Linked DNA regions of Mus musculus. The protein of the gene in region 2 binds, or shares a complex with, the protein of the main gene of each other region. Links are inferred from orthologs where the notes say so. Each region holds a gene or a part of one and is shown on either strand. Other genes may lie near its edges. The genes, in order: Amfr, Ube2g2 and Aup1.

Region 1 (3,643 bases), on a different chromosome or scaffold from region 2:
AGCTTGTTCTCGCTCAGTGCTGAACTCTTCCATGTGGGCCTCAGCGTGCTAGTCCAGCCCCTTACCTCTGAGCCATGTAGTTCCAGCCATTTTCTGATTTCTCTTTGAGACAGGGTCTCATGATGTTTCTCAGGCTGGCTTTTCACTTGTTAATTCTCTTGTCTGTACCTCCCAAGAAGCTGGGATTACAGACCTGCACCACCAGACTTGCTTACTAGGTACAGCTTCTGAAATGTGTTGGCAGATCTTGGAGATGGAGATATATATATATATCCCATCACTTTGTCCCTTGTTTTGGCAAGATCCCTTGTATCGCATGCTGCAGCTTGGTCGTAAAGCAATACAACCCCACACATGAAGCTCTGAAGCTTGATCTGAATGTTTTGTAGTTGGCACATGATGGCTTTGAATTGTGATCCTAAAACAATAGAAACGACACCTGCTAATGATTACATCACTCCACAAACCTATGTTGGAGAACGCTTTGAAAAAGAATTTATAATCTGAAAACTAAGGTAACCAACCCCCCATTCCGCAAGGCACTGTTTCATTGTGTAGCCCTTGCTGGCTTGGGGTTCACTATGTTGACCAGGCTGACCTTGAATTCACAGAGATCCTTCTGCCTCTGTCTCCCAAATGATCAGAGTAAAGGTGTATATTAGGGAATGGAGGTGTGTACCTCTCTTGAATGGGTAAGAGAACACCCCTATACCTATTTAAAACAAGGCATTCAGCACAATGCCCAGACCAAGGTTAAGTTATATTAAGCAGAAAGTACTTCATGAAGGTAATGATGGAAATGGCTCATCCACATGAGGAGTAATTTGTGCTGGTTGTAGCAGAGGAGTGGACCTGAGCTGCTAGAGCAGTTTCGGAGTCATGGGAACCCTTGACGAGAGAAGGGATTGCAGGTGGAATGGCTGTCTGGCCTCACGTTCTGCCACGTCATTAACCTGTGTGGTCTTGGATGTGTTTCCCTAACTTCTCAGTGCCTCAGGGACCAAAGACCAAGGTTGGGGCCAGAGTCACATCTCTCAGGGGAGTGGAAAGCACGTGTAGGTTTTGGTGAGGACAGAATAAACTAATCTGGAGAAAACACTTGGCAAAAAAGGAAAGCATAAAGAAAGCCCTCAGGCACTTGGTAGAGTGCCTGGAAACAGATGACACTGGGGCAGGGACCAGGGCACTAATTCTTGTGTTGGACTCTGATTTGTCTTAGGGTCCCGGATTGCAAGCTGGCTGCCAAGTTTTTCAGTTGAAGTGATGCACACTACCAACATTCTTGGCATCACGCAGGCAAGCAACTCTCAGCTAAATGCCATGGTAAGAATTGCTGACTGTTTAAGATGAGAACTAGTGAGTGGTCAGGAGGGCACAAGGAGCTCCATGACATGTGAATAGTGTGGCGGGGATAGGGTGGCGGGGATAGGGTGCATGACCTTGCTGGTTTCTCATAGCACAGCCAAGTTTTCAGGGACCACTTCCATTTCTTTCCATTCACTCCTCTCTTCTTTGTCTCCCTCCCCTCTTCTCTCCCTGTCTGGAACAAAAGATTAAATCCAGGCCTGAATGTACTAAGAGTGCTACCTCAGAGCCTTGACACGATAATAAGCTGGTGCTGACTAGTGAGTGCTCAGGTAGTAAGGCAGGCAGCCCACACCAGTCGGGAACTTGCTTGTGTTTTACCTGTGGCAGTGCTCACTACCAGGTCTACCTTACTGTGACCCAAGCCCACGCTGAGACTCCTTGATTTAAGCAAACATTCAGAAGGAAGTATCAACAAGAGTGAACAATATAAAGAATTACATAAGAATTATCAAATACATTTTTTTTGTTTCTTTGCCTCCAAAGTGTTGTGTGTGTGTGTGTGTGTGTGTGTGTGTGTGTGCATGTCTCTGCACCTTGTAACTTTGAGGCATGCTGTTGGCTCAAGGAAATTGTCCAAATACTTTTTGTTTTTGTATTTTTCTGAAGCTGTGTATTTGGTTTTTGGAATAGGGTTCTGTCTGACATGGAATTCTATGTAGAACAGCCTGCCTGCCTTTTTTCCTCCTGAGTGTTGGAACTGAAGGCATGTGCCACCAAACCTGGCTAAAAGTCTGTCTCTGAGCTGGGTGTGGTGGTGCATGCTTTTAGTGCCAGCACTTGGGAGGCAGAGGCAGGAGGATTTCTGAGTTCGAGGCCAGCTTGGTCTACAGAGTGAGTTCCAGGACAGCCAGGGCTACACAGAGAAACCCTGTCTCGAAAAACAAAAACAAAAACAAACAAACAAGCAAAGGAACAAAAAGTGTGTCTCTGTGAGTGGACTGTACTCAGCTCAGCAATTGCAGTGCCCTCAAGGCAGACAAGAGTCTTCTTGGGAAGGGTGGGTTGTGTGTAAGCTCAAAGGTTGGCAAGATGGTTGGTGTATAGGAAGGAAACAGTTGCTCAGGCTGTGGTGAGGTTGTACTGGGAACTTGGGAAGGGTTTGTCAAAGGAAATTCTTTTCTTTTTCATCCCTTCCTCTCTCCCTCCCTGGTCTCTCCCTCCCTGGTGGAGCTCTTGGGAGTTAATCCTGGGTATTGCTTATATGTTCGGGCTCCTTCTTTCCTCCCCTCTGCCTCTGTCCCCTTCTCTTCTTTCCTCATGCTGGACACTAAGTCTAGGGCCTGGGCCTGCTAGGCAAGGGTTTTGCTACTGCACTACACCCTCGTCTCCCTGCTTTCGGAGATAGGTTCTCTAGTCCAGGTTGGCTTGAACTCATGATCCCCCTGCCTCAGCCTCCTGAGTATTGGGATTAGAGAGCACAGCCATGGGTTGTTTTTTAGTGAGGAATGTGTGACTAGGAATGATCTTTAGAAAAGTAGAAGTTGAGGTACAAAACCAGGAGAAATACTGACTGCAAGGGTACCACCCTTCAGGTGAAGGGGTAGGGTGGAAGTGGGGAAGGGAAGAGAGCTTTAAAGACAGAAGGAGGGGTGATAGAGCTGCGGACAATGTTTGGGGTTTGGGTGAAAAAGGAAAGATTGATTGGCTTACAGTAGGCTAGAAGTAGAAGCAGTTTGAATGTGAATGAATGGACAGAGAGGAAACTTGTGCATATAGTGGAATAGTGCCTTAAAGCTGTGGGGATTCTGGCCCTTGCTATCCTGTGGAGACATGCGAGGCCAGTATGCAAAGGGAAAAGCTGCGGATAAAAAGACAGGATAGAAATGGTTTTTGATCACAGCAAACATAGAAAATGCAGGATACACGGCTCCTGCTGTCTCCCTCTTGCTCCTTCCTCTGAGATCATCACCATGTAAACAAACATAGGTGCTCTGGGATGGAAGAGCGCTGGAGGGCTCTTGGCTGACTCTGGCTGGCAACAGCTTCATTCCAGGAGGTGTGAGCCTCCTGAGAAGGGGTTGGTTTAAAATCTTAGGTAGGCCCTATCAGCTCTTTAGTCTACTTCAGATGATTCAAATAACTAATTTTTAGCACAACGAATTTACTGGAACTATGCATTTTTAATTAAAATCTAGTATTTAACTGACTGGATTTTCTGGTAGAAAGATTTATGATAGAAAGTTCAATAAAATGGATCCAGCTTTGTTTCCCTTTTTCTTTTCCTCAATTGGTGGAGAGCTAGGTGAGGAGGGGAGAATGCTTGTAGAGACTCTTC
Region 2 (3,743 bases):
TGGTTGTTGGGATTTGAACTCAGGACCTCCAGAAGAGCAGTCAGTGCTCTTAACCGCTGAGCCATCTCTTCAGCCCCCTTAATATTCTTTTTTAAAACGACAAATGTGATGAATCTAATGCCTCAAATCTTTTGAGTTCAGCTTCTTATACTCAGGGTCCCAGCAGGAACTTTCTCTTTGTCCCTACACCTAGTCCTGAAAGCCCCTTTTTTCGGAGAGCCACGTCCCGAGCTGTATCCCTCATGTCCACTTAGCGAAGGCAGTGGTGCACCTAAGAAAATACCAAGCATCTATCTGGCAGTTCCGTATGATGAGGAAGTACAGCTTACTTGGCAGAGTCTGAGTTTTTTTGGCCAGAGAGGATGGGATATGGCCCGGGAACTTTATCCTTCCTTTGTGAAACCAAGGTACTCTTTCTCTTGCTAGAAGTGTCATCTCAAATCACCTGGGCCTCAAAAACCAGGTGTAGTGGCACTTGGGAGACAGAGGTAGGCAGGTGGCATCTCTGTGAATTCGAGGCCGGCCTGGGCTAAATAATGAGTTCTAGGACATTCATGCCTACAAGGGGAAAGTTTCACGATCTGGACAGCCACTTCTGAGGGGCGAGCCCAAGCGCAAGGACATGAGTCTCATTCAGGAACAATCCATGATGAGCCATTAGCTCTCGCACTATTTTTCAAGACTAAAGGGCCGCAGGGCGAGCTGCGCAAAGCCTCACGGCGGCGTAGGAAACCTTCAATGCTGAGGGTGTGGCCGGCCGAGAAGATTCTGGAAGCCGAGCTCCGTCGACCCGGGCCATTACCCGGGGAGCGCGAGGCGAACCCCAGCGAGCCTGTCTGAAGCACCCGGGTGCGCCACGTCACCCGCGCGCGCCCCGGATGCATTTGCGCCCGGAGCCCGCGACCCGGAAGCAGTCGTGGGCGTCGGAGCGGGCGGGCGGGACCGGCGCGGATGTGGCGAGGCTGCTGAACGCAGGTTCCGCGGTATGGCGGGGACGGCGTTGAAGAGGCTGATGGCCGAGTATAAGCGTGAGTCAGGCGGCGCCGCCTTCCTGTCCTCTTCCCCATAGTCGCCCGCGGCGTGGCCCGGCATGGCTCGGCTCGGTGCGGTGCGGTGCGGGGGTACTGGGCCGGGCTGCGAGATTCCGCGTGCGGATAAAAGGCCAGGCTGTCGCCGTCACCTGCGCACCCCAGCCAGCGGCAGCGGGGCTGGCCCTGGGCTCAGAAGCCGGCCGGGGCAGCGCCGCCGTGGCCCTGCCACCCGGGTCTGGTCCCTAAGCCCCTGTGTGCTGCGCATCTGCCCTCCCGACAGTTGATGCTGCGGGGCGAGTACCGGGTAATCCCCGTAAGGTGGTCGAGCCGTCGAGGGGAGTTGGGGGAGAAAGTTAAAAATAAACAAGATAACGCCTCAAACCCCCGGCCACGCCGCAGGTGCGAGTTGCTGGGGAAAACCAAAGTTTCTCGGACACGGGCTCCGGACAGTTTCCTTGGATCCGGATCTGTTTTTCTCTCTGTTTTACTTTTTCAGCTCTGTGTCTAGATTGAGACACATCCCCTTTATCTAAAAAAGAGGGAACAGCATTTAAGCTCCGGGACAGGGGTTTAAGTTTTGACCACTTCTACCCAAGGGTATTCACATTAGAGAAAAACTTATCCGCCACAAAAAGCCTCTACTCGTACGTCAGACAAAACGTATTGTCACTTAATTTGAAGTTAAGGTTGTGAATCATCTCCGTGTGAGAGAGAGAAGGAATTTGGTTAAAGAGGGAACTCTAAAATAGGAAGGCTGGCGAGGGGCTCAGGGGGTTCACAGAGGAGAAGGACTCCACCTGCTGTGGCTTCTTGGAAGAGGAAAAAAAAGGGCAGGGAGCTAAGGGTGGCCCCAGGCTGACAGCTAGTCTGGGACCAGTGTTACAGCCATACGGAACTGAGTTGTGCCAGCGACTTGAATGGACTTGGGTTGCAGCCCTGAAACAACCAGCTGTCTCGGCTGGGCCCAAGCCCACATGGAAACCATGAGGTCATCAATGGATATTGTTTAAGCCTGTGGCAGCAGTGATGGAAATGCATCCAGCAGTACAAAGCACGAGGAGCGAGGGAGGGAGGGAGGTTTTTTCCGTGTCCTTGTGAATTCAATAAAAGTCCCACTGAGTGTTTTTCTTCCTTTATGGTATAAAAGGTTTGTCCTCTGTTTAAGACCATGTACTCTAGTATTAGGTAGATTCAACAGGAACATCCAGGTTGAATTAGAACATCCGAGGTTGGGCTAGAGCGAAGGTGTTCTTGCATACCTGATTGTACTGTAGATTTAGAGGCGATATGACCTTGAGTGTGGTTCATTGTCTAACTTTTTTTTAATGTGTTTTTTATGTGTATTTTTATGAGTATTTTGATTACACATAGGTAAGTGTGTCATATGTGTGCCTGTGCCAGTGGATGTCAGAAGATGACATCAGATCCCCAGGGACTGGAGTTACAGCTGGTTGTGAGTCTTTGTGTGGGTGCTGAACTAGAACCTGGATCTTCTGCAAGAGCAACAAAATCTATGAGTCATCTCTTCATCCCTATTGTTTTTCAGGCTCCTTGTTTTTCTTTTATAGCAGTTGAATAACAGATATAAAACGATTAGACTGTGGTCATATCACAAAAAGAGCCAAGCGAAGACCTTAGACTGCTCCCAAGTGCAGTGTCCTGTGCACGCAGAGGCGGATATTGAATGTCCCACTCTGTCGCTCACTCTCCACCCTCTTCTCTTGAGACCAGGCCTGTCATTGAACCTGGAGCTCATCAATTCAGCTAGAATGGCCAGCCAGTTAGCCCCAGACATCTTCCTGTTTCCTCCCTTGCCTCCAACTCTGGGGCTACAGGCACCCATGGTAAATAAAGCCTGCCTCTTTTTCATACGGGTGCCAATACTCGAACCTGGTTCCTCTGTAAGAACAGTGTGTGTTCTTGTGTCCTTGTCATATGTTTCCACAGCTTTTCTTCTTACTGTGACAGACAAGGGAACAGTGGTCCAGGGCTGTTGTAACATTGTCACCACTCAGATACCATAACAGACAGCATCTCATGGTTTGGAGATAGAATTAGAAGCCCACTTGTGGCCTGGGCTGTCACCCTAGGCAGGGTGGGCTTTTGGGGAAGGTCCTTCCTCCCTCTCAGCTCTAGAGTGCTGGCTACTGCGGGTTACTTAGCTGTGCTAGTGTAAGTCCTTCCTCTCCTGTACCTTCCTGTGGCCATCTGAGCCTGGGTGTGTCGGTATTCAGATTTTTCCACTTGAAATGTCAACAGTCACTGGCTTAGGGCCCAGCCTAGTCAGAATGTTCTGTATTTAATTCTGGTACATCTGCTGAGACTGTTTCCAGACAGTGTCACAGTTCCCACATTGGGGTAGACTTGAGATTGTTTTACAATGACAGCTGTTTTTGTGTATTTGTGGGTGGGCAGGCGAGTGCCACTGTGCATGTGCAGAAGTTAGGACAACTGACAAGGGTCACATCTCCCTTCTGTGTGGAGCCTGGGAATTTCGAGCTTGGCCTGTCAGACGAGGCAGGAGGTGTCTCTGCCCACCAAGGCAGCACGTCAGAGTAGGGGCGTGAACCAGAGCAGAGCTGTTCACCTAAGGCCAGACACGGGAGAAGTAGAAAGGCTGGGTCCCTGCATTCCCCTTAAGGATCTGCTCTCAGTGCCTCCCCTGCTTGTTGCCTGGCCATGCTGCTGCTCCCTGCTATGATGCACTGCCTT
Region 3 (3,721 bases), on a different chromosome or scaffold from region 2:
ATCCACAGCTGTGACCATGGCCTCATAAGTATCCCCGCTAGGCAGCCTCACTCGTACTCGGCGCCGATCAGCCACCACGTGGGCGTTGGTAACGATGAGCCCATCTGAAGCCACTACGAATCCTGATCCGTTTGAGATGGGGACTTCACGGCCGGAGAAAGGGTGCCTGGGATGGGGAAAGTACCCATTACACTGCAGCTTCCACCTCATCCTGCTCCCTTGCCTTCACTAACGGCAGTTCAACACCTCCTGGTCAACTTCACCATTACCGGTCTAGGATCTCGATATAGACCACAGCAGGGGCTGTCTTCTCCACCACATCTGCGATGAAATTGTACTGGCTCCGGGGAGAAGTGGGTGGCGGAGCAGGAACAGCAGCCAGCACCGTGGAAAGACCCCGACCCCAACCCCACAACAGCAGCACCACTGCACCTCCTGCGCCCACCGCCACCGCCAGCCATTCGCGCCGACGGCTTCCAGGGCTCCTGCGGGCCTCCTGGTCACTGGAGCCTGAAGTCCCCACATTCAATCGTGCCCAGAGATCCGGGGTCCTAGACGTCAGATCTGCCCGTGATGCAAGGAACCCCTCAGGCACCTGGGCCGGGAGACTGGGGGTCCCATAAGTCATCCAGATCTGAGAGTCAGGAGTTCCTGACGTCAGCAGAGCCCGGAGGTCAGGAGCTAACAGGGGAGGCTTCCTCCAGAAGATGCCCCCCAAAGCCCGCCATGCCCGAAGGCTCCAGTTTGCACCCCGCCCCGCTTTCAGCGCAGCCATCAGCTCCGCCTCGACTCTCCTCGCCCGCCCTACTCAGAGGCGGTCCTCTAGAACCCGGCAAGCGGTCTAGGAGAAGCAGGGCACGACGGTAGCTGTTCAGCGCATGCCGGGAAACGTAGTCCCGTCAGGACGCGCTCCTCTCCAGCATACGCACACGCTCACACACAAACACACACACATACACACACATTCCCCGGGGCCGCGAGGCATGCTGGGAACGCTAGCCCTTCCGGGGCGCCTCCGGGCCTCAGGTTCTGGCGTCTCGGCGGATGCCCAAAGACTCCGCCTTCCCAGGGGCCCCCGCGGCCCTGCGAAGATGGCGGCGACAGCGGCCCCGCTCTCCTGAAGCGGCTGCGATGGAACCTCCCCCAGCTCCGGGGCCGGAGCGGCTCTTTGACTCGCACCGGTAAGCGCTGCGGAGGGAAGAGACCGGTCAGCGCGTCCTGTCAGCTTCGGCGCCTGATCGCGTCGCCTCTCGCCACAGGCTCCCGAGTGACGGCTTCCTGCTGCTCGCGCTACTGCTCTACGCGCCGGTCGGCCTCTGCCTCCTGGTCCTGCGACTCTTCCTCGGGCTCCACGTCTTCCTGGTCAGCTGCGCTCTGCCCGACAGCGTCCTCCGCAGGTGCGGACCGCGGCGCCCGGGGGAGCATCGGGGCTGGGCTGGGCTCTGGACCGCACGGTCACCGCCGCCTGTGTCCCCAGGTTCGTGGTACGAACCATGTGTGCGGTCCTGGGGCTCGTGGCCCGGCAGGAGGACTCCGGACTCCGCGATCACCGCGTCAGGGTCCTTATTTCCAACCACGTAACACCTTTTGACCACAACATAGTCAACCTCCTCACCACCTGTAGCACCGTGAGTGGGGGGCGAGGCCGAGAGCGCCACCGGGTGGCTCCCCAGGCCCAAGCTCAAGGCTCCCCTTTACCCATTGGGATTCTCTTGGGGAACACCGAGCCTTTCCCCCAGCCCCTTAATCGCCACCTCACGTGTCACCCTTTTCCTCTTTCTTTCTGTCTTTTCCTTTCTCTTTCTCTTTTTGACATTTCCTTCCATTCTTCTTGCTTTTTCTCCCCGTTCTCAGCCTCTACTCAATAGTCCCCCCAGCTTTGTGTGTTGGTCTCGGGGCTTCATGGAGATGGATAGGCGGGTGGAGTTGGTGGAGTCACTCAAGAAATTCTGTGCTTCCACGAGGCTTCCGCCCACACCTTTGCTGCTCTTCCCCGAGGAAGAGGCCACCAATGGCCGAGAAGGGCTGCTGCGTTTCAGGTGGGTAAGCGCAGGCATCTGGCTCCAGTTGAGTGGGTGCCCTAGTTCCTTTCCTGTCTGCCCACTTTTAGCCCTGCCCTCGAAATTCTTAATTCCTCAGTTGTCTGCTTATGGAGTTGGACAGTTTACTAGTTTAAGTCAGATATAAGTGGTTGGCTGGGCTAGGCTGAACTCCCATACTACTCGCTCTCTCTCCCTCTCTCTTAGTTCGTGGCCATTTTCTATTCAGGACGTGGTACAACCTCTTACCCTGCAAGTTCAGAGACCCCTGGTCTCTGTGGTGAGTGCATGCTGGACAGGGACTACTCTGGGGTCTGGAAGGGAAGTTTCCCACCTGTGGCCCTGGCTTAGACCTCACTTCATGCCCTCCCCTCAGACGGTGTCAGATGCCTCCTGGGTCTCAGAACTGCTGTGGTCCCTTTTTGTTCCTTTCACGGTGTATCAAGTAAGGTACTAACTGTCCTCCGTTTTTGGTGGCTGGGAAGGTGTTCACCTCAAGGGCATGGAAGTAGTGACCACTATCCTGTCTGCCTGTGGTTTGTTAATGTCGAAGTTCTAACAGAAGCAACACTTATCTTCATCTCCCTACTCTCCCCACCACTGTTCCAAGATAAATGGGGAAGGGCCATACCCTTAGCCCCTGTCGACTTAACAGGGCAGGGCTCTGGTTTTTGTAGGTGGCTTCATCCCATTCGTCGACAGCTAGGGGAAGAGAGTGAGGAGTTTGCGCTCCGTGTACAACAGGTGGTAGTGAACAGGGGTGTGGTGGAAGTGGGGGGGTCCCTCCCTCCTGGGGAGAAGGGGAAGAAGACCTGACGAGGCTACAGCTATAACCTTCCAATTCTCCCTAGCTGGTGGCCAAAGAATTGGGCCAGATAGGGACACGGCTCACTCCAGCAGACAAAGCAGAACACATGAAGCGACAAAGACACCCCAGATTACGCCCCCAGTCAGGTGTGTGATCTGGGCACAAAGATGCTTGCTGCGCTTGGTGGTTTTGCTTCCCTCCTTACGCGTGTCTGCCTCTCTCAGTAATCCACTCACCTCATTTTTTTTTCTTTTAAACAGTGCAGTCTTCTTTTCCTTCTCCTCCCAGCCCTTCTTCTGATGTGCAGCTGACCACTCTCGCTCACAGAGTCAAGGAGGTTCTGCCCCATGTGCCATTGAATGTCATCCAGAGAGACCTGGGTATGGGAAAGGGTAGCATCACAGAATGGCAGACACAGGAAAATGGGTCTCAACAGAGAAGGGGTACAGGGAGTGGACACTCTGCCCCTCTCTTCCCAGCCAGGACTGGGTGTGTAGACTTGACCATCACAAACCTGCTCGAGGGGGCTGTGGCTTTCATGCCTGAAGATGTCACTGAGGGATCTCAGTCCCCGCCTGCACCCTCTGCCCCAAAGGTGAGACCTGGAGTAGTCAAGGCCAAGACTTAAGGGCAGGTCTGGGCAGTCTCTGCTCCCTCTCCCTGACTTCTCGCCTTGATGTTGAGACCCTAGCACAGTGCCTCTCTTGCAAAGTAGGCATTCGATGGGTGTATAATGATGATGACTTCGCAAGCCCTCTGACATTGTGATCACCTCAGTTCCCCAGCTCGGGCCTGGCGACCCCTCAGCCCACAGCCCTAACGTTTGCCAAGTCTTCCTGGGCCCGTCAGGAGAGCCTGCAGGAGCGCAAGCAGG

What was found.
Region 1: the proteins of Ube2g2 (region 2) and Amfr are in contact, whole or in part, in an NMR structure (PDB 2LXP), measured with the Homo sapiens proteins. The link is inferred for Mus musculus from reciprocal best matches to the Homo sapiens genes UBE2G2 and AMFR. Residues at the interface, in NP_003334.2 of Homo sapiens: Tyr13, Leu16, Thr17, Pro20, Gly23, Ile24, Val25, Ala26, Gly27, Pro28, Met29, Asn30, Glu31, Glu38, Leu40, Met42, Glu45, Glu50, Phe51, Val53, Val159, Gln160, Leu163, Gly164, Leu165; in NP_001135.3 of Homo sapiens: Ser574, Ala575, Arg578, Gln579, Met581, Leu582, Arg585, Lys586, Leu589, Leu590, Ala593, Arg594, Arg596, Phe597, Leu598, Lys600.
Region 3: the proteins of Ube2g2 (region 2) and Aup1 are in contact, whole or in part, in a crystal structure (PDB 7LEW), measured with the Homo sapiens proteins. The link is inferred for Mus musculus from reciprocal best matches to the Homo sapiens genes UBE2G2 and AUP1. Residues at the interface, in NP_003334.2 of Homo sapiens: Tyr13, Thr17, Pro20, Gly23, Ile24, Val25, Ala26, Gly27, Pro28, Met29, Asn30, Glu31, Glu38, Leu40, Met42, Glu45, Glu50, Phe51, Val53, Pro55, Lys156, Val159, Gln160, Ser162, Leu163, Leu165; in NP_853553.1 of Homo sapiens: Ser379, Arg382, Gln383, Leu386, Arg389, Lys390, Leu393, Tyr394, Tyr396, Ala397, Arg398, Arg400, Phe401, Thr402.

The regions. Positions count from the first base shown.
Region 1 is NC_000074.6:93,977,998-93,981,640, reverse strand, and holds part of Amfr (E3 ubiquitin-protein ligase AMFR), read left to right. Parts: intron 1-1,219; coding exon 1,220-1,323; intron 1,324-3,643. UniProt on the Homo sapiens protein: E3 ubiquitin-protein ligase that mediates the polyubiquitination of lysine and cysteine residues on target proteins, such as CD3D, CYP3A4, CFTR, INSIG1, SOAT2/ACAT2 and APOB for proteasomal degradation.
Region 2 is NC_000076.6:77,621,389-77,625,131, forward strand, and holds the start of Ube2g2 (ubiquitin-conjugating enzyme E2 G2), read left to right. Parts: upstream 1-932; 5' UTR 933-985; coding exon 986-1,028; intron 1,029-3,743. UniProt on the Homo sapiens protein: Accepts ubiquitin from the E1 complex and catalyzes its covalent attachment to other proteins. In vitro catalyzes 'Lys-48'-linked polyubiquitination. Involved in endoplasmic reticulum-associated degradation (ERAD).
Region 3 is NC_000072.6:83,053,652-83,057,372, forward strand, and holds the start of Aup1 (ancient ubiquitous protein 1), read left to right. Parts: upstream 1-869; 5' UTR 870-1,044; coding exon 1,045-1,181; intron 1,182-1,259; coding exon 1,260-1,397; intron 1,398-1,477; coding exon 1,478-1,628; intron 1,629-1,854; coding exon 1,855-2,039; intron 2,040-2,246; coding exon 2,247-2,319; intron 2,320-2,415; coding exon 2,416-2,489; intron 2,490-2,716; coding exon 2,717-2,783; intron 2,784-2,890; coding exon 2,891-2,993; intron 2,994-3,107; coding exon 3,108-3,227; intron 3,228-3,326; coding exon 3,327-3,442; intron 3,443-3,562; exon of another isoform or gene 3,563-3,624; coding exon 3,625-3,721. Other genes in the region: Htra2 (serine protease HTRA2, mitochondrial), read right to left, coding at 1-166, 270-775. UniProt on the Homo sapiens protein: Plays a role in the translocation of terminally misfolded proteins from the endoplasmic reticulum lumen to the cytoplasm and their degradation by the proteasome. Plays a role in lipid droplet formation. Induces lipid droplet clustering.